Oryctolagus cuniculus: one gene and its partners. The protein of the gene in region 5 interacts with the protein of the main gene of each other region in a pairwise test. Links are inferred from orthologs where the notes say so. Each region holds a gene or a part of one and is shown on either strand. Other genes may lie near its edges.

What was found.
Region 1: the proteins of BOLL (region 5) and small EDRK-rich factor 2 interact in a two-hybrid assay, tested with the Homo sapiens proteins (2 studies listed by BioGRID and IntAct). The two-hybrid records come from large-scale screens. The link is inferred for Oryctolagus cuniculus from reciprocal best matches to the Homo sapiens genes BOLL and SERF2.
Region 2: the proteins of BOLL (region 5) and ZNF385C interact in a two-hybrid assay, tested with the Homo sapiens proteins (2 studies listed by BioGRID). The two-hybrid records come from large-scale screens. The link is inferred for Oryctolagus cuniculus from reciprocal best matches to the Homo sapiens genes BOLL and ZNF385C.
Region 3: the proteins of BOLL (region 5) and C7H1orf94 interact in binary tests that used the Homo sapiens proteins (3 or more experiments, as listed by UniProt). The two-hybrid records come from large-scale screens. The link is inferred for Oryctolagus cuniculus from reciprocal best matches to the Homo sapiens genes BOLL and C1orf94.
Region 4: the proteins of BOLL (region 5) and TFG interact in binary tests that used the Homo sapiens proteins (3 or more experiments, as listed by UniProt). The two-hybrid records come from large-scale screens. The link is inferred for Oryctolagus cuniculus from reciprocal best matches to the Homo sapiens genes BOLL and TFG.
Region 6: the proteins of BOLL (region 5) and RBFOX2 interact in binary tests that used the Homo sapiens proteins (3 or more experiments, as listed by UniProt). The two-hybrid records come from large-scale screens. The link is inferred for Oryctolagus cuniculus from reciprocal best matches to the Homo sapiens genes BOLL and RBFOX2.

Annotation. Positions count from the first base shown.
Region 1 is NC_091438.1:8,272,160-8,274,366, reverse strand, and holds small EDRK-rich factor 2, read right to left. Parts: upstream 1,059-2,207; 5' UTR 1,000-1,058; coding exon 820-999; 3' UTR 501-819; downstream 1-500. UniProt on the Homo sapiens protein: Positive regulator of amyloid protein aggregation and proteotoxicity. Induces conformational changes in amyloid proteins, such as HTT, driving them into compact formations preceding the formation of aggregates.
Region 2 is NC_091448.1:20,707,216-20,710,715, forward strand, and holds part of ZNF385C (zinc finger protein 385C), read left to right. Parts: intron 1-1,211; exon of another isoform or gene 1,212-1,487; intron 1,488-2,806; coding exon 2,807-3,058; intron 3,059-3,500.
Region 3 is NC_091438.1:138,426,454-138,429,953, reverse strand, and holds part of C7H1orf94 (uncharacterized protein C1orf94 homolog), read left to right. Parts: intron 1-2,785; coding exon 2,786-3,046; intron 3,047-3,500.
Region 4 is NC_091435.1:55,295,295-55,298,794, reverse strand, and holds part of TFG (protein TFG), read right to left. Parts: intron 3,122-3,500; coding exon 2,975-3,121; intron 1-2,974. UniProt on the Homo sapiens protein: Plays a role in the normal dynamic function of the endoplasmic reticulum (ER) and its associated microtubules. Required for secretory cargo traffic from the endoplasmic reticulum to the Golgi apparatus.
Region 5 is NC_091434.1:42,598,313-42,601,623, reverse strand, and holds the end of BOLL (protein boule-like), read right to left. Parts: intron 2,522-3,311; coding exon 2,371-2,521; 3' UTR 501-2,370; downstream 1-500. UniProt on the Homo sapiens protein: Probable RNA-binding protein, which may be required during spermatogenesis. May act by binding to the 3'-UTR of mRNAs and regulating their translation.
Region 6 is NC_091442.1:113,493,836-113,497,909, forward strand, and holds the start of RBFOX2 (RNA binding protein fox-1 homolog 2), read right to left. Parts: upstream 2,801-4,074; 5' UTR 2,332-2,800; coding exon 2,146-2,331; intron 1-2,145. UniProt on the Homo sapiens protein: RNA-binding protein that regulates alternative splicing events by binding to 5'-UGCAUGU-3' elements. Prevents binding of U2AF2 to the 3'-splice site.

The DNA of each region.
Region 1 (2,207 bases), on a different chromosome or scaffold from region 5:
AGACCCAGAGGAAGCTCCTGGCTCCTGGCTTCAGATCGGCGCAGCTCCAGCCATTGCGGCCATCTGGGGAGTGAACCAGTGGATGGGAGACCTTTCTCTCTGTCTCTCCCTCTCACTGTCTGTATCTCTACCTCTCAGATAAATAAAATCTTTTAAAAAAAGATTTATTATTTGAAATGAAGGGGGGGGGAGAGAGAGAGAGATCTCCCATCCGCTGTATCACTCCCCAAATGACCACAGCACCCAGGAGCCAGGAACTCGATCCAGATCACCCATGTGCGTGGCAGGAGCCCACGTGCTGAGGCTCCCATCTGCTGCCTCCTGGGCACATCAGCAGAGAGCTGGACCAGAAGCACAGAGTAGCGGGACCTGAGCGAGCACTCCAATATGAGATGCCGGCATCCCAGGCAGCAGCTCGGACCCGCTGTGCCACAACTCTTTCTAATTTAACTTTATTGCGGTCATATTTTAAAGTTTGTATGGTTTTAATGCCTTCCTAATTTCTTTCTTTCTTTCTTTCTTTCTTTCTTCTTCTTCTTTTTTTTTTTTTTACAAAGCTACTTTTAATACTTTGGGGTGTGCCCCACAGGAATAAAAAACACTGGGAAGAGGTAACCCTCTCACCCCCAGGAGTGGCCCAGGGGGAGAGAGGCTACCTGAGGGGAAGGAAGCACAAAAGGGACCCGCTGCAGACTCAGGGCAAAGGGAATGCCATCGGTGCTGGGACCTGTGAGCACTACAGGAGGAAACGCGAGCATGGTGGGACTGGCTCCAGGCAGACAGGCGAAGGGCAAGAGGGCTGGACACGAAGCCACAAAGCTACTTGGGTTCCTCCTTCTTCTCGTTTGCCTTTTTCTGCTTCTGCTGCATGATCTCCGAGTCCCTCTGCTTGCGGGCGGCAGCAGACAGCCCGTCATCTCGGCGCTTTCCCTTAACCGAGTCGCTCTGCTTTTTCATATTATTCTGGCGGGCGAGTTCACGCTGGTTACCGCGGGTCATGGCGACGGCAGCGGCTCCGGCCTGCCTCCGTTGCGTCCCCTCGTTCTCTCCCGCCTTCCTAATTTCTTGAGGGCTGCATCTGGCCTGTCTTGGTGAACACACCATACACACTTAAGATTTTACAGTGTCATATTCTATAATGGGTTAGACAAGGTGGTTGATAAAGTCATTCAACCCTTTTGTCTTTTATTGACTTTTTGTTTAGTTCTATTAATTGCTGAGAGAGAGAGATGGAGAGAGAGAGGAAGAGAGATACAGATTACAATTCTCTTATTGGGATTGTGAAATTGCCTGTTTTTCTTCTCCTTTTGACTTCTGCTACATGTAGTCAGAGGCTCTGTTATTTAGAACGTAGACATTTACCATTGGAATGGCTTCCTAAATAACTGATACTTTGATCATTACAAAAATGCCCCTTTTATCTATGGTAATCTTTTTATTTATTTATTTTTAAAGATTTATTTATTTACTTGAAAGTCAGAGTTACACAGAGAAGAGGCAGAGAGGCAGAGAGAGAGGTCTTCTGTCCTCTGGTTCATTCCCCAGTTGGCTGTAAAGGCCAAAGCTGTGCCGATCCAAAGCCAGGAGCCAGGAGCCTCATCCAGGTCTCCCATGTGGGTGCAGGGGCCCAAGGACTTGGGCCATCTTCTGCTGCCTTCCCAGGCCAGAGCAGAGAGCTGGTTCGGAAGTGGAACAGCTGGAACTTGAACCCGTATGGGATGCCAGCACTGTAGGCGGTGGCTTTACCTGTTATGCCACAGTGCCGGCCCCATATTTTTATTTATTTTTGTAAAGATTTATTTATTTATTTGAAAGGGTTACAGAGAAGAATCAAAGACACACACACACACAGAGAGAGAGAGAGAGAGAGAATCTTTGATCTTCTGGTTCACTCCCCAAATGGCCACACAGCCAGGGTTTGGCCAGGCTGACGACATGAACCCAGGAGCTTCATCCAGGTCTCCCATGTGGGTGCAGGGGCCCAAGGACTTGGGCCATCTTCCGCTGATTTCCCAGGAACATCAGCAGGGAGCTGGATCGGAAGTGGAGCAGCCAGGACTTGCACTGGTGCCCATATGGGACGCCAGCACTGCAGATGGTGGCTTAACCCGCTGTGCCACAGTGCTGGCCCCCCAAATCTGTTAATCAAATAGTCATAAGTATTTTAAAGAAAATTAGGAAAATAGTCTTTCCTATTACCTAGCTCA
Region 2 (3,500 bases), on a different chromosome or scaffold from region 5:
CGGCTGGGGAAGTCACTTCTGCTCCTCCCTGGGGAGCTAGACCCTCCTTACCCGCCCCCCCTCCACCGACGACGCACACACACAATTTTGCACCTGGGACCTTCTTCCTGCCCATTCGTCCTGCTGGGAGGGAGGGCGGGGGAGGCAGGAGATGGCCCCATCACCACTGTCTGGAGCTGAGGGTGCAGAATAGGGGCTGGGGGCTCCCGGCAGCATTGGGAGCCCTTTTCACAGTGACCTCCAGCGTGACTTCATGGGGAAGGGGCTGTGTCCAGGCCCCTGGACCCATGACATGGCTCTGGCCGGGGGAGGGGATGGGCGGTGGGTGCAGCCTAGCAGCCTCTTGCTGACTGAGGGGTGGTCTTTGCCCTCCTCCTGCCCTGGGCTTTACTGGGTCTCCCGGCTTGTCTTCCCACTGGATGCTAGCTGTGCCACCTGGAGGCTATCTCTGGTACTGCAGCCCAGCCACTGCACCAGGCAGGGGGAATGGGACCCTCAAACCACTAGGCACCTAAGATCGCAGCAGGGTCAAACCCTTGGTGCATTAATTTGCTACGGCAGCCACAACAGAGTGCCACGCACTGGGGGGGGGAGTGCTTAACAGAGATTTATCATCTTCCAGTTCTGGATTCTAGAACATCAAATCAAGGCGGGGGGTGCTGGCAAGGGTGCTTCCTTCTTTTAAACAAATTCAAGTTATTTTCACTTTTTTAAAAGATGATTTTTTAAAAGATTTATTTTATTTATTTGAAAGAGTTACAGAGAGAGGTACTGAGAGAGAGAGAGAGAGAGAGAGAGAGAGAGAGAAAAGTCTTCCATCTACTGGTTCACTCCCTGATTATTCATAAGGTTGGGTCTCTCTGAGCTGTGAAGTAGAATCTGCTTTGTCCTCATGCCGGGCCCCTGGCAGGTGCTGCCGCGATATCTGGGGTTCCTGGGCTCATGGGCGCACCCCCTGCTGTCTGCTCCATCTTCCATGGCCTTCTCCCTGTGTGCGAGTCTGTGTCCAAGTCTCCCCTTTGTAGACGGACACCATTCATCTGTAGAGGACTAGGGGCCCATGCTACACTAGTGTGGCCTTATCTTTTTTTTTTTTTTAGGATTGATTTATCTTATTTGAAATTCAAAATTACAGAGAGAGAGAGAGAGGGAGACAGAGAGAGAAAGAGAGATCCTCCAGACCCGTCGCGGGTTAATAGTAGCTGGCTTTGGCGGACAGCTCGTCCGATGCCCACAGTGGTGTGCGTGCCTGTGACTCAGGAGCTCTTACTCACTGCCCCTCCTGCCATTTGCCCATTTGACAGATGGACAGATCGGGGAGAGCTCCGGTCGCCCAGCCAGTAAGCGACCACGGATTCGAGTCAGCTGTGAATCGGCTCAGAGCTCCTGCTCCATCTGATCCACGCACACGCAGTCCCCACGTGTGTCACGACAAACACAGGTTGCCTGGGCCCACGGCCCAGAGAACGACAGGCAGCTTCCCGAGGGTAGGGCAGGGCATCCGGGACTGCAGGTGGTTCCTCAGGGGTGGGCCCCGTCACTGGGGGTGGGGCCTGATGAGATGATCATGATCTGATTTGCTGGGAGCCTGGGCCCGAGGCATCCCCTAGCTCACTCCCCAGATGACCGCAACGGCCAATACAGGGCCAGGTCAAAGCCAGGAGCCCGGAACACCATAGGGCCTCCCACATGGGTGCAGGGGCCCAAGCACTCGGGCCATCTTCTGCTGCTTTCCTGGGTATATTAGCAGGGAGCTGGATCAGAAGTGGAGCAGCCAGGACTCAAACAGGTGCTGGTGTCACGGGCGGTGGCCTAACCCACTGCTTAAGGCCGGCCCCTTCAGCACCATCTTGAGGGGGACATAATTCGGTCTGGACCAGGAAATGGGCTCAGTCAGACCTCACTCAGGCCCTCACCTTGAGGCTGCCCCAGTCTGAGGGGGAGACACGGGCTCTGCTCCCCGGAAGCCCCACCTAACACAGGCAGGGAGAAGTAAAAGCGGACACAGTGTGGTCTGAGAAAGGGAGCCGTGCAGTCCCTGAGGGACAGTTGGGGGCCGACATGTCGGAGTGTCTCTGAGAAGGGAGCTGGAGGCAAAAGCCTGCCTGGGTGATGGCTGGGTCCAGGTTGAGGGGGCATGTGCACGTGTGTGCCTGTGCATGTATGTGTGTGCACGCACATGTGTGTGCATACATGTAAATGCATGTGTGCGTGTGTGTGTGTGTGTGTATTCAACAGGCCCAGATCTCTCCCTGAACACCAAGTGTGGTCTCATTATGGGTAACCAAGGCAGCAAAGGCCTCTGGAGCCCTGTGGGGCAGGGGCTGGGGTGGCTTCGCACCCTGTCACCACTGGTGAGCGTCACCCTGCTGGGTGCAAGGTGCAGGAAGATTGGGTCCCTGGGCAGAGGCTGCTGTGTCCCCAGGACGCACTGCCACATGCTTGCCTGTCACAGGGGTGTCAGCGCCTGCTGTGGGGCTGCAAACAGGACTCCGGCTTCCCAACGTGTGACTGCACGGCCACGCCGCTGTCTCCCCCAGCGGCCTCCTCTCCCCAGCCCTGAACTCTGCCCTGTGGCCCTCTCAAGCCCCAGGCATCTTGGCCAGCCTCCTTGTGTGTGGGTGTTTCTGACACCCTGCACAGTCCCCACACATTGTAATGCTGCTGTGCTTGAAACAGATCCCACGACGCCCCCTTTGCCTCTCCTTGGGTTGGGGGCCACCAAAGACTGGGGCGTTTCAGCTGGGATGCGGGGCCCCTGGCTGCTGCCGCATCGATTTCTCTCTCTCTTTCTCTGTCTGCTCAGGTATGAAGCGGCCGCTGAGCCCATCGCCCCCGGGTGAGAAGGAGCCCCCCACAGCTGGCCCTGCTGAGTGCCCCCCTCGGCCCCCCGAAGCGCCGAAGCCCAAGCGGGAGAGGAAGCGGCCGTCGTACACGCTCTGTGATGTGTGTAACATCCAGTTGAACTCCGCCGCCCAGGCGCAGGTGCACTGCGGGGGGCGCGCCCACCAGAGGCGGCTTCGGCAGCTCAGCTTGGGCAAAAGCCCCTCGGGGCCAGGTCAGTGTGCGGGGGGGGGGGGGAGGCAGCTCCTACGCAGTGCAGGCCCCCCAGGGCTGGAATCCCCCTGTCTCGACCGCTGTGAGTGGCTCTGGGCCCGTGGCCTCCCTCTGTGGGGTCTGAGGCTCCTTGATGACATCAGGTTTTGTTTTGTTTTGTTTTTACATCTGGACAACTGCAGGGTCGCTGAGGCTCCTTCAGCCTCCTCTTGAGGTCTTGTTTCTGGGGGCCCTCCCCTTGGGGTCTTCGGGGATCAGGACCCCTAACGAGCATTTCTCCAGTGCGGGGCCCAGGCGAGGACGGAGTTGCAGACAACGGTCTACCTGTAGGGAGTCCCAGGCTCCTGCCGTGACCTCTGAAGGCCGGGGTCAGCGAGGTGTACGGCACGGGCGGCCCCCTTCCTTCAGCGGCTGGAGTCACGGCCAGGGTTTCTGCCTGTCCC
Region 3 (3,500 bases), on a different chromosome or scaffold from region 5:
TAAATTACCCCCACCTCCTCTCCAGTGATTTGGCCTTTTTTCCCCCCTGATCTAGCTGCTCAGACCGATTGCAGTGGCATTTATGCACAGTCAGCAGTCACTTGGAGAGCAGGTCATACTCATGTCACCCAGAGGGGAAAAGGACCCCAGGCTGTGAGGAACAGGGGTGGACCACTGCGGGTGGGGGGTATCAAGAGGGCCTGAACCCATCTCCCTGAGAAAACAGGAGCAAGGTCCCCCATGAGAACACTGTGTGTTGTGTGGCATTGTGGACAAGCCAGGGAATCGAGCTGTGGCCAGAGAGCTAGAATCTGGGTGTTGGACAGGTTGGAGCAGCCCGAGGGCTTTGGGACCATGGAATGGGCTTGTGAGAGGATTGAGTCCTGCCCAGGAAACCTCCCTGTTAGATAGGGGTGCTAGGCCCCAACCACTAGTACCACTGTGTGTGTGTGTGTGTGTGTGTGTACAGATGCATGAGCCAAGAGGTTCTAAAGAGAGCTTTGCAGATATGAATGTGTGTGTGTCAGAGAAAATGCAGCTGTGGTGCAGCTGAGTGCGTCTCTGTACATTCTTGTGCATGTGTGGCAGGTGTGTGCTTGCACACGTGTCAGTGCAGACAAAGGAATGGCAGGCAGGAAAGTGTGGGCCTGGCTCTTGGAGGAAGGAGCTCTGTAGATGTTTCAGGCAACTGTAGGTGTGCGCGCGAGGCTGCAGGTACTGAGGTCTCTGGGGAGAGGGATATTATTAGTGAGTGCTGGTATTTCCGCATGCTGGCTGGGGGCTAAACTCGGCAACCAGATGAACTCTTGGAAGAGACTCTAGGGATGTGTTTTTGCTAAAAATGTTGCTTTCTCCTAAATCGGCTCAGGCTAGCACAGCTCTTTCCTGTGCTAGGATGGTGTTAGGAGGGCAGGCCCAGTCCCATCGTGGCCACTGAGCCTGCAGTGCTGGGGTCAAAGAGCTGGGAGGATGGGGTACACTCCTAATGGGCAGCTGAGGCACAGGTCTTCAGATGGGGCCACTCCCAGAGGGAGCCCAGAGGCCTGCAGTATGTCCAGCATGGGGACAGTCATCCAGCAGGTGACCGGGTCTCCTAGCCAAGCTCCAGGGAGAACTTTTGAGATCCCAGGCCCAGAGGAGGAGTGGATGGGGCCGGGTGGGTGCACAAAGCTCTCTTCCCTGCTTCAACCAGGACAATGCCTTAAAAAAGGAAAGGAACAAACCAACTGCATATATGGAGTTCTTTCTGCCAATAGATTTCCTCCCCATGCTTAATCACAAGCAAGAGTCCCTTAACAAGTTCCTGGAAAAGTGGAGTTAAAACATATGCTTGTTTTGGTGGGGAAAAAAATGGAAACCCATGCATTTGTTGTTGGTAATACACCTTTTCCAGGAAAATTTTGGCACTCAGGTGAGTGAGAGCCACTGCTGTGGAGGACCCCATGGTGGTGCAGACACTGTCCTTGTTCTGGGGTGACTGCCGGGCCAAAGCTGGCAATGGCTGGGCCCCCACCCCACATCCCAGCCGTCTCTGTTGAATCCCCACAGCTCTGAGTTTGCAGCCTCTGGCCCAGTTCCCACGCCTGTCTTGCCTTCCTCCCAGACATCCCAGCATGTCTTGCCTTGCTGAAACCCCACCTCGTTTTGGAACACAAAGCCCCATTCAGACAAAGAGCAGTCTCAGCCATCTTCTTCTCCCATTGTGTCCCCTGTCACCTCCTGGGTCCCACCTGCCTTGTCCCAGAGCTATTTCTGAGCATGTCTCTCTCGCCTTCCATGTGATGAGCTACTGCAGGGCAGAATGGCTCTGACTCATCACTGTGTCCCCAGTGCTCAGGGCAGGGTCTGGAGCTGACAAGCCAGCTGAATCACCTGTGAGCCACAGACAGAAGTAGAGGCGTGATATGGTGCCAAACTGTGGGGTCCAGGCTGTGTTCCGTGGAAATGCGAGACCACCCTTAGCTCTCAGTTGCACGCTCCTTCAAGGAAGACTGTGTCCAAGTCATCTTCCTGGCACTATGGATGGCTGGAAGGAAGAAAGGAGGGAGTTAGGAGAGGAGAAAAGAAGGGAAGGAAGTCGAAATGTGGAAGGAAGGAAAGGAAGAGGGAGAGAGGAGCAGAGAAAAGAAAAGTAGTTGAAGAAAGGAATAATGTAAGAAAGGATGAGTGAATGGATGAAAGGGGAAAGGGAAACTAACAATGGATGGATAGAAGGGTGGATGGATGGATGGATACATGGGTGGATGGGTGGATGGAGAGACACATGGGTGGATGGGTGAATGGGTACATGGGTGGATGGGTGGATGGAGAGACACATGGGTGGATGGGTGAATGGATACATGGGTGGATGGATGGATGGAGAGACACATGGGTGGATGGGTGAATGGATGTGTGGATGGGTGGAGAGACACATGGGTGGATGGGTGAATGGATGTGTGGGTGAATGGGTGGGTAGATGGATTAATGGATGGGTGGATGGCTGAGTGATGGATGTGTGCATGGAAGCATATATGGGTGGATGGGTGTGTGAGTTAATGGATGCGTGAGTAGATGGATGGAGGGAGAGAAAGAAGGAAGGATGGGTGGATAAATAGGTAGATGCTTGAGGTAGGAAGACTAGACTGGACAGTGGTCAGGGGAGTGCCGAGGGACAGACTGGGGCTGTATGTATCTGAGAGTGTCCTCTTGAGTGGTCTGGGCCTCAGATGTGTGCTGTGGGGGATCCGTCATGCAGCCACAGGATGGTGCCTTCCCTGACTCTGACTTAATTTCCCTCCTACTGTAGAACAAAACCCTAGCAACAAAGACTCAACCAAGTGTCAAGACAGCCTCTTTGTTAGCCAGTGGCCCCAGAGTCGGAAGGATACCTGTGGTGAGGAGGGTTGCAACGACCCAGTGGGCACCCCGTCCATGGCCCTGCCGCCCAAGAAGCCTGCATGGCCAGCCGAGAAGAATCTGCTGTATGAGTTCCTCGGAGCCACCAAAAACCCAAGTGGGCAGTTGAAGCTTCGCAACAAAGTGGATGTGGATGGGCTGGAGCTGAAATGTAAGCTGGCCTACGGTGGGGCTGCAGAGGAAGGAAGGGATTCCAGACACCCTGCTTAGGCTCTGGAGAGTGGTTGGGTCACCAAGAGGCTATGCTATCCATGGGCAAGTCACTGCTCTTCATATCCTTATCAGAAACGTGACCACTAGCAGGAGTGGGAACCTGTTTACTGCCAAGAGCCATTTCGATATGTATAACATCATTTGTGGGCCATAAAAAGTATCAACTTAAAAACTAACCTGTTGTAGATTTGTTGAATGTTGAGTTCCGACTGTGGTTGCCTTGGCAGAGCCAGATCTTATACAGCCCCTGGGCTGCCTGTTCCCTACCCCAGCGACCAGATGACTATAGTTGGCTTTCAGGGGTCACATGAACATTAGTAGTGATGAATTTTAAATATAGCCCCAACTCAACATAGACCATACACTCTCAAATTGCCCAAGATGAAAAAAAC
Region 4 (3,500 bases), on a different chromosome or scaffold from region 5:
AATCAAGTCAAACAGAATTCATGCCTAATACTTACTTTTAAGTATTTATTACTTATTAAATTACTTATTAAAATACATACAGATAAAAATGATGCATGTTTGAGATCTGCTTCCGAATAATATGGGAAGGGTGGAGAAACTGGGAGGATATATGACATGACAATAATTTAATAATGGCTTAAGTTGGATGTGAGTTCATGGGATTCACTATAATATTCACATTATGTATACTTATATATATACTTATATTTCTCCATTTAAAAGTACTTTTTTTAAAGCAAAAATAAAATGTTTAATATTATGGGCAGGTTAATTTAAATATACATTTCTTCTAAGTATACTAAGTTATTCAACAGGCAATTATACTATTACCTTGTAAAAAAAAGGGATTCAAGAACAACCTCTGTATTATCAACAGGAATACAAAAAAAAGTTATCAAAAGAAAACAAACATGTATACAAAAAAGTGGCTATTTAACAGTGATGATTATCAGTTGTGTTCTGTTATCAGGTAAATGACCAACAGTTGTTAGATAGATGGGTGTGACCCCTGGAATCAGTACAAAACTTCTCTTGCCAAAAAAAAAACACAGGGCCAGCATTACAGCAAAGTGAGTGAAGCTGCCGCATGCAACGCAGGCATCCCTTATGGACACGAGTTTGTGTCTTCCTGGTTGCTCAACTTTTCGATCCAGCCTGAGAAAAGCAGCAGAAGATGGCCCAAGTGTTTGGGACCCTGCACCCATGTGGGAAAATCTTTAGCCTGGCTCTGCCCTGACCATTGCAGCCATCTGGGGAGTAAACCAGCAGATGGAAGGCCTCTGTCTCACCCTCTCTCTCTACTGACTTTCAAATAAAGAAATATTTCAAAAATAATAAAACAAAAAACAAAACTAAGTAAAATATAAGCCCTCCTAATACACACATCCATTCATTCCTAACTTGGTTTTCCAGGGTATTCCAATATTTCCTAAATTTCTCAGGGGAGAACAAAATACTATAAGCACCGCTTTACAGTATATCTACAAGCTATCTTTCTTATCAACTTCCTTCTTCTAATTCCAAGGCTACATCACAAGCACATAACTCTCAAAAATTACATGCAAATGTTGTATTAGAACCTATGAATTCTTGGGGCTGGCACCGTGGCTCACTTGGTTAATCCTCCGCCTGCAGCGCCAGCATCCCACATGGGCGCCGGGTTCTAGTCCCAGTTGCTCCTCTTCCAGTCCAGCTCTCTGCTGTGGCCCGGGAAGGCAGTGGAGAATGGCCCAAGTGCTTGGACCCTGCCCTGTGTGGGAGACCAGGAGGAAGCTCCTGGCTCCTGGCTCTGGATCGGCGCAGCACGCCAGCCATAGCAGCCATTTGGGGGTGAACCAAGGGAAGACCTTTCTTTCTGTCTCTCTCTCTGTCTATAACCCCACCTGTCAAATATTAAAAAAAAAAAAAAAAAAAAAAAAACTATGAATTCTTGAAAAATGGTCTACATTTTTAATCAGATTCTTTAAAACTGGTCCTTTTTGTTTGGAGAGGTGGGTTTCAGAATATGTAATGTCTGACCATAAAGAGTTTCATCATAAAGTGACCAAGAAGATTTCTTTATAAGATTCCAGCAAATCTCCAATATGTTATAAAATAGGTAGAACTACAAAATATTCTCACCAAATACTTTTGGAGCAATTAACACAAATTCCACATGACTGGAAGAAGAAAGAAAGAGGGAAATTATGGAATCTGCCTCTTAATAAGCTATAACTAAAGAAAAAAAAAACCATGGCTCCAAAATTATTTAGGAGCCAAAAATAGAATATCTCAGAACCTAAAGGTTGCAAGGATTACAGGTGCCACTTTTTCATAAAAAAATCATCTCCATTAAGCCCTTTAACATTCATTCCTGACTTTGTTTTTAAAAATCCATAATACGGAAAGTGTTACATAAAAGTTATAAGCAAATAAGAACTATGTAAAAAAAAAATCAAGCTTTTTAAAGTGTGACATCTAAGAATCTTAAAAATTAAGAAAAGTAGTTTTTAAAAATCTACTTTCAAGGGGCTGGCGCCATGGATCACTTGGTTAATCCTCCGCCTTGCAGCACTAGCATCCCATATGGGTGCTGGGTTCTAGTCCTGGCTGCTCCTCTCCCAGTCCAGCTCTCTGCTGTGGCCCGGGAGGGCACTGGAAGATGGTCCAGGTGCTTGGGCCCTGCACCCGCATGGGAGACCAGGAAGAAGCACCTGGCTCCTGGCTTCAGATCGGCGCAGCGCCGGCCGTGGCAGCCATGTGGAGAGTGAACCAACGGAGGGAAGACCTTTCTCTCTGTCTCTCTATGACTCTACCTTTCAAATAAATTAAAAAAAATATATATATTTTTTCAAGCCACACTATATACTTAAATTTCCAAAAATATGTCCATTCCATTTGTTAATTATCTTTATCTTAACATAAATAGTACCTATCATGTATAAAATGAAAGCAAAAAAATCAGTTTTTTATATTAAAAATTGTGTTTCAAACAATTGTTATATGCTTTTACTACACTATTTTTTTTACTTGAACCTATATAATATACTTCAAGAAATAATTTTCAATTTCTAAAATTAATCACCTATTACACCGGAAAGCGTTCAATGAGTTAGAGGTTTGAAAACCGACAGATATTATGAAACTAGTGTAAGACTAGTTTTAGAAGACTCAAACATCACTCTGTAAGATGGGATTTCCAAGCCCTATCCTCCAATAGGTTTGTAATGAGATGAAGAAACTGGTATAATGAAACCTCCAGTAAGCCTGATGAACAGCTGGCCAAGTTTGAGAACACAGACATAGACGATGAACACTACCACAGAGGCAGAAACAAGAGTTACACTGAGGATGCCACCCTACTCCTACTAAAGGGCTTAAAAAAAGCAAATCTAAAAAGGTCTGCAAGAAAAGATGTAACAATAAATCAAATTTAAGCTGATTCATGGTTTACCATTGTCAGGAATACTGGTGGGAGGTCCTGGCTCTCCAGGTGGCTCCAAGCTGTCCAATAAGCGATTCACTTTATTGCGAAGCTCTATCAGTTCTCGACGGAGGTATTTCACCTGACTTGATTCAAGGGGTCTGGGTTGACCATTAACTGAAATAAAAGCATTAGTTTGGTGGAAATTAGTAGATGTTCCTGAAAAAGTATATCAATAGAATAATATGCAATAAGGAAAAATAAGTACAATTCCTTTAAAAAGTGAAACAAAATTAAAGATACCTACTGATGTCACTAGAATAACTCTTTAAAGGAAAAGACCTTCATTACTAATAGCTTACATTTCTAAGAAAATAAACATTCATCAGTCTTTCTTGATGTCAGACCCACCTATGACCTTATTGGCAAAAAGGCATAGAAGAATTCCATTACCCACAGCAAACAACACTTTCTTGAACCTGATACAAAATCACATAATGCAAGCTGATGCACCGTAAAAGATTGTTTCTAACATCTTACTGAGACACGTACTGTT
Region 5 (3,311 bases):
AGGTAAACACACACATATACATATATTGTATACATACACAATTATTTTTATATGTATCACTGCCTGCCAGAATTTCCCATCTAAACCTACAATTTGAAATGTTTTATTAAAAACATTTAATGGAGGTAAAATATATACAAACCTAAATACAATGAAACCAAAATAATGTAGAAGCTAGAATCTACTCTGTACATATTACTTTCCTTCCTAACAAGATAGTGTATTATTATTATTATTATTATTATTATTATTATTTTTTTTTTTTGACAGGCAGAGTGGACAGTGAGAGAGAGAGACAGAGAGAAAGGTCTTCCTTTGCCGTTGGTTCACCCTCCAATGGCCGCCGCGGCCAGTGCGATGCGGCCGGCGCACCGCGCTGATCCGATGGCAGGAGCCAGGAGCCAGGTGCTTTTCCTGGTCTCCCGTGGGGTGCAGGGCCCAAGCACCTGGGCCATCCTCCACTGCACTCCCTGGCCACAGCAGAGGGCTGGCCTGGAAGAGGGGCAACCGGGACAGAATCCGGTGTGCCGGCGCCGCTAGGCGGAGGATTAGCCTAGTGAGCTGCGGCGCCGGCCGATAGTGTATTTTTGAATGATACCATATTACAAGTGGCTCGTTGCTACATTTATTCTGTATATGCCATGGCTGTGTCTACAAATATGAAACATCTGGAGTAAAACTGAAAAACCCAAACACCAAAGATGTTTTTAAGTGCTTTTATATGAGATTATCAAGTTAATAAGACTGCCAGATGACTAAATTTTTAAAACTTTATCAAGTTATTTATTTGTCTTATAATCTTTGTTCTATTTGCTACAATTTGACATCTACATTACTTAAGTGTGTGAATAAATCAAGGATATCATGATTTTATCCTGCACCTCCAGTGTTCTGGCTACTAATATTTCTTTAGTTGTCTTACAAAAGCAAGAGAACATTTAACCTATAACACATCCCAAACCCTCTATTTTTTACCAGACCACATACAGGGCTAGTTGTTTTCTATTACCAGACAAAATAGTTATCCAGGATTCTACTTAACAGAATCAGTAGAGGAAGGTGGAGTAAGAATTGACTCCTCTGCTCTGAAATTTTTTCTAGGATGAAAATGTGGGCTTTGAGAATACCGGGGTTTCAAACCTACAGATGAAGGCTGGGAAAAGCTTCTTCTCACACAATGTAACCTTGTTCCTATTAAGAGATTTAAACAAGATTAGGGTTTCAATGCATTTTAAATGACTAATTTTACAATTACTTAAGGGAAAAATTAAAAAAAAATAAGAATAACTGGGCATGGATTCTGGAGAGAAAAGGTTTGCTTAAGGAAATTCCCACTAAAAAGAGTAGGATACCCTATAACCTGCTGCTGGACAGGGAGGAATCCTACAGCTATAAAAAGAGACTTGCTATAAGGGGTCTGAGGTGGTATCCCCAATGGCATTTCTAAATTGATAGGTTATACTTCCTTTTGCATCCCTGAACTCTGGTAAAGATTTGTTAAACGATTTAGAGTTGGATCCTGTGGACAAGAAAACACCTCTCCAGAGAAAAATTAGAGAATTATTAATATACTACCTTTATTTAATTTATTTATTTATTTTTTTGACAGGCAGAGTGGACAGTGAGAGAGAGACAGAGAGAAAGGTCTTCCTTTGCCGTTGGTTCACCCTCCAATGGCCGCCGCGGCCAGTGCGATGCGGCCGGCGCACCGCGCTGATCCGATGGCAGGAGCCAGGAGCCAGGTGCTTTTCCTGGTCTCCCGTGGGGTGCAGGGCCCAAGCACCTGGGCCATCCTCCACTGCACTCCCTGGCCACAGCAGAGGGCTGGCCTGGAAGAGGGGCAACCGGGACAGAATCCGGTGTGCCGGCGCCGCTAGGCGGAGGATTAGCCTAGTGAGCTGCGGCGCCGGCCGATAGTGTATTTTTGAATGATACCATATTACAAGTGGCTCGTTGCTACATTTATTCTGTATATGCCATGGCTGTGTCTACAAATATGAAACATCTGGAGTAAAACTGAAAAACCCAAACACCAAAGATGTTTTTAAGTGCTTTTATATGAGATTATCAAGTTAATAAGACTGCCAGATGACTAAATTTTTAAAACTTTATCAAGTTATTTATTTGTCTTATAATCTTTGTTCTATTTGCTACAATTTGACATCTACATTACTTAAGTGTGTGAATAAATCAAGGATATCATGATTTTATCCTGCACCTCCAGTGTTCTGGCTACTAATATTTCTTTAGTTGTCTTACAAAAGCAAGAGAACATTTAACCTATAACACATCCCAAACCCTCTATTTTTTACCAGACCACATACAGGGCTAGTTGTTTTCTATTACCAGACAAAATAGTTATCCAGGATTCTACTTAACAGAATCAGTAGAGGAAGGTGGAGTAAGAATTGACTCCTCTGCTCTGAAATTTTTTCTAGGATGAAAATGTGGGCTTTGAGAATACCGGGGTTTCAAACCTACAGATGAAGGCTGGGAAAAGCTTCTTCTCACACAATGTAACCTTGTTCCTATTAAGAGATTTAAACAAGATTAGGGTTTCAATGCATTTTAAATGACTAATTTTACAATTACTTAAGGGAAAAATTAAAAAAAAATAAGAATAACTGGGCATGGATTCTGGAGAGAAAAGGTTTGCTTAAGGAAATTCCCACTAAAAAGAGTAGGATACCCTATAACCTGCTGCTGGACAGGGAGGAATCCTACAGCTATAAAAAGAGACTTGCTATAAGGGGTCTGAGGTGGTATCCCCAATGGCATTTCTAAATTGATAGGTTATACTTCCTTTTGCATCCCTGAACTCTGGTAAAGATTTGTTAAACGATTTAGAGTTGGATCCTGTGGACAAGAAAACACCTCTCCAGAGAAAAATTAGAGAATTATTAATATACTACCTTTATTTAATTTATTTATTTATTTTTTTGACAGGCAGAGTGGACAGTGAGAGAGAGACAGAGAGAAAGGTCTTCCTTTTGCCGTTGGTTCACCCTCCAATGGCTGCTGCGGCCGGCGCACCGCACTGATCTGAAGCCAGGAGCCAGGTGCTTTTCCTGGTCTCCCATGGGGTGCAGGGCCCAAGCACCTGGGCCATCCTCCACTGCACTCCCTGGCCACAGCAGAGAGCTGGCCTGGAAGAGGGGCAACCGGGACAGAATCCGGCGCCCCGACCGGGACTAGAACCCGGTGTGCCGGCGCCGCTAGGCGGAGGATTAGCCTAGTGAGCCGCGGCGCCGGCCTATACTACCTTTATTTAATAGAACAATATTTTAATCCTCTTGTTAACTAAAAATATC
Region 6 (4,074 bases), on a different chromosome or scaffold from region 5:
CATAAATCTCAAAAAAAAAAAAAAAAAGAAAAAAGAAACCTGACAGGCATGCAACAGCTGTTCAATAAAGATTAGTTACAAGAGTAAAGGAACACTGAATTTATAGACACACACACACACAGTTTCTTTCACCAATTTGTCTCCACACCTTAACTGTGCGTACCTTAAGGACAGGGAATCTGACTTACATGTTTCCAGAAATCACCTTGTACAAATACTTTATTGCACAAGCAGGGAAACAAAAGCCCCAAAATAAGAGGTTTCCCTAAACCCATACAGCAGTCTGGCAGAATCAATGACCGGAACACCGGCGTGCCACGGTGTGCCAGACCTCCAACCTGCCAATGTATAAAGTGAGAAGAGTATTCTCCGTGCCAGTTCCAGGTTGCCCATCTGCACCCACACTCATCCACGCCTTCCTCTGCACACCCCCACCCCGCGAAGTCCCCAGACGCTGCTCTATACCCAAATACCACTGCTCTTGGTTTGAAGGCAACAAGCAAATAATGGACCCCAGGTCCAACCGTGCCAACTACGACTGAACACACACACACACACAGAGCACAGGCACACACTAACAGCACCTCGCCCAGTCTTCCCTCCTTCCATCCAGTGGCAACCCACCCGCACCTGAAGTCTCCTGGTATGCCTCTCTATTTTCCATGGCCATGAGTTTTACTCCTCCTTGCCAGAGTTCTAATGGAGAATGGAAGCAGGCAAAGAAAAGAATTCAAAAATAAACAGCAAGAGGGTCACGTTACCCAAACCAACATTGGTAACAGGACAGACTCCACAACGGACAGGGAGAGGTGCAGGGCACGCACACCGGGCTTAAGCAGAGCTCGGGCTCCAACACAGGAAGTCAGGCAGAGCCTCGCCGAGCAGGGAGGGAGCACAGGAAGTCTTCTAGCACAGCAGAGATTTCCAAGAGTTGGTGGAATGGAGACAGCCCAGGAACAGGAATCAGAAGGCCACACTGCTGGTTCTAGACTCCCGGCCGCTACTGGGCGAGAGGCAGGCAGATGGTCGTCCTGGGACTGCGACTCCCCCTCTATAAAACGAGGTAGTTAAAAACATGCAGGGGCTTCAATACCCACCAAAAAAAAAAAACCACTGATTCTCCTCCAGCAAAAAGTGCATATCAACTATTCTGCTTAAAAATCTTCCAAGTCTATCCAGGTTAACAGCCCCTGGAAAAGATGTCACCTCTGGTCCCTCTCCTCCTAACGTTCTATGATTCCAAGAGAATCAGATGTCAAAATAACGGGTGGCAGGCCAGTCCCACTCACCTGTTCATAGCAAGCATGCCCGAACAGAGACCAAATCCTAAAACCTACCAAACTCAGCTGGCGCCATCCACACCTCTCCCACTCACGACTCAAATCGGCCCGCTTATCCTTGGGTCCACAAGCCAGAATCCAGGCTTCTAAGAAGCCCATAAATTCCCTTTGATACCCCAGGACAATGAAGAGAGAGCTATACGGTGCCCTAACCATGTTAAGTACAGGAGAGACCTGTCCCGTGTCTCTCTTCAAACTCAACCGCACGAGCCGCAAAGTGAAGAGGCTGAGCACCCCAGTGCCCACGCCACCCCGCGGTCTCCCCGCGCCTCCCACTCACTGGGGAACTGATTGAACCCACAACCCAAGCCACATCCCCTTTGGGCTCTCTCGAGGAGTTTCTTCGCTTTTCGCTTCTCTCGTCCACACGCCGCTCCCCTACCCCAGCCCAGGGTGTGCGAGGGCCGCCAAAAAGGCACTCCTCCTCCTCGAGAGGCTCCCACCACGGCCCCCTCGCCCCCCACTCAGCCCCGCGGCTCTCCGGGCCAACCCCACACCCAGGACTTCCCAGCTTCCACTCCACCCTCGGAAGCCAAGGCAGGGTTTGAAGACGTGGACTCCAACCCGCCCAGGGTCGACTCCCCCCAAAAGCCTCATCGACGCAGGACCCTCCCGAGCACCCCGGGATCCTGCCGTACCCGAGCTCGCCCCAGCTTCCAAGAAGGCCCCGGCCCGCCCCTGCCCACCTCCCCCCGGGACCCCGCGGAGCCCTCCCCCTCTCCAAGCCCCGGAGCCCGGGCCGCCCCCCCCGCCAGGCACGTTCCGCACCCCCGCGATAACGGGGCGCCCCGAGCCGCGCGGTCACCTGCATCCCGCCGCCGCCGTCGGCCGCCGCCTCCTCGGTGCGCGGCCGCTTGCTCAGGCCGGGTTCGGCTCCGTCTCCTCCCGCTCCGGGCACCGGCAGCTCCAGCTCCGACTCCCGCTTCATGCCCCGGGCAGTGGCGCCGGGCCCGAGCTGAGACGGCTGCTGCGGCTGGGCGCCTTCCGCCATCCGCCCGCGCCCCCCTCGCCTCCGGGAGCCGGGCGACCTGCGACAGGCCACCTCCCCCTGGGCCTCGGCCCCGACTGTCGCGACAGGCGGGTGCGCGCCTGCCCCCGCCCCCCGCGTGCGTGCGTGCGTGCGCGCGCGCGGGCCCGGCGCCCCTCCGCGGCTGGCTCGCGCCCGCCGCTCCTCGGGGTCGTCGGCGTGGGGCCGCCGGCGGCTCGCGACGGGCCCTCGCTCGCGCCCCGGCACGCACACGCGACGCCCGGCCGGCCCGCCGCGCCGCGCCGCCTCTGGCGCCCCCGGAGCTCGGCCGCTGGCCCGCGCTCGGCCGCTCGCACTCTCCCTCACCGCACGCCGGCCGAGGGAGGAAGGGGGCGGTCCGGCTCCCGAGGCGTGGGGAGGGCTGTTTATTTGGGGGGGGGAGAGGAGGGGCGCGAGGCTGGGACGAGCTGACTGGCCGGGATCCTCCGACCCGCCACTGTGGCAGCGCCGGGAAGGCGGGGAGAGAGAAAGAGGGAAGGAGGGACCGGGATGGACGACTCCCGCCCGCGCGGGAGGCTGAGGCGAGGGGGCGGCGGCGGCGGCGGCGGCGGCGGCGAGCCCGCCGAAGGGGCGTGGCCAGCGCCCCTCGGCAATCTCCGCGGCCTCCGCGCCCGCCGCCCGAGGGAGGCCGGGAAGAGCTCGGGGACACTCGGGAATCTCCGGCCCCGGCGCGGGATCGGCCTGGAGGCGCGGCGCGGCGGGGGCGGGGCCTGCCGCCTCTGGGGGCGGGGCGTCGGCCTGGGGCAGGCCTGAGGGCTGGGAAGCAGCTCCGGTTTGCTGGACTAGTTGTTCGGAGTTGTGTCCTCGGTTCGCTTGTCCAGCCGCCTTCTTTCTGCTTAGGGGTGGGGCCTCCCATAGAAGAATGGGATCTCGAGTCTAGGGTCGGAGCCGCTCCTGCGTGGCGCTCTGCAATTCTGAGAGCTTCCGCTCTAATCGTAATTATTATATCGCTGGTGATCTTAATTATCTCCGATGCGTGTAAGAGCTCTAAGGTTTGCATAGTGCGTGCACACCCGTTTTGAGGCTGGTGGGTAGATGGAGACCGTGGTCTCCAAGGTGGCAGATCCAGATCGCAGGCCGCCGGGTCATATTCGCGATTCACTTTCTTAGCACCTTGCGGCATGAATGGCACTTCATTGCTTATCAACTTTGTGTGGCTGGAGATGTGTACAATGAGTTTTCTCTCTCACCCCATGATGTGCCCTGTAGATGAAGTCCCAGGAATAAAATGATGTGTGTATGACCTAGATGCTAGCCTTGGACTTGCTATCTAGTTTACACAAGTTACTTCATCCCTTTGAACCTCAGCTCGATCATTTGTAAAATTCGGCAATTTTTATGATTGATTGATTGATTTGAAAGGCACAGTGACAGAGAGAGCTTCCCTCCACTGGTTCACTCCCCCAAGTGGCCACAGTAGCCAGGGCTGGGCCAGGACAAAGCCAGGAGACCTGGGTCTCCCACATGGATAGCAGGGGTCCAAATACTTGGGCCACCATCTGCTGCTTTCCCAGCACATTAATAGGGAGCTCAGAAGCAGAGCAGCAGGGACTCAAACCAAATATGGGATGCTGGCGTCACTAGCAGCTTAACCAGCCCTGCCACAATGCCAGTCCCAGGGAGATGGTTTCTTTTGTTTTTGAGATTTTATTTATTTGAGAGGCAGAGTTACAGAGAGGGAGGGAGAGAGAGAGAGGGCTTCCATCC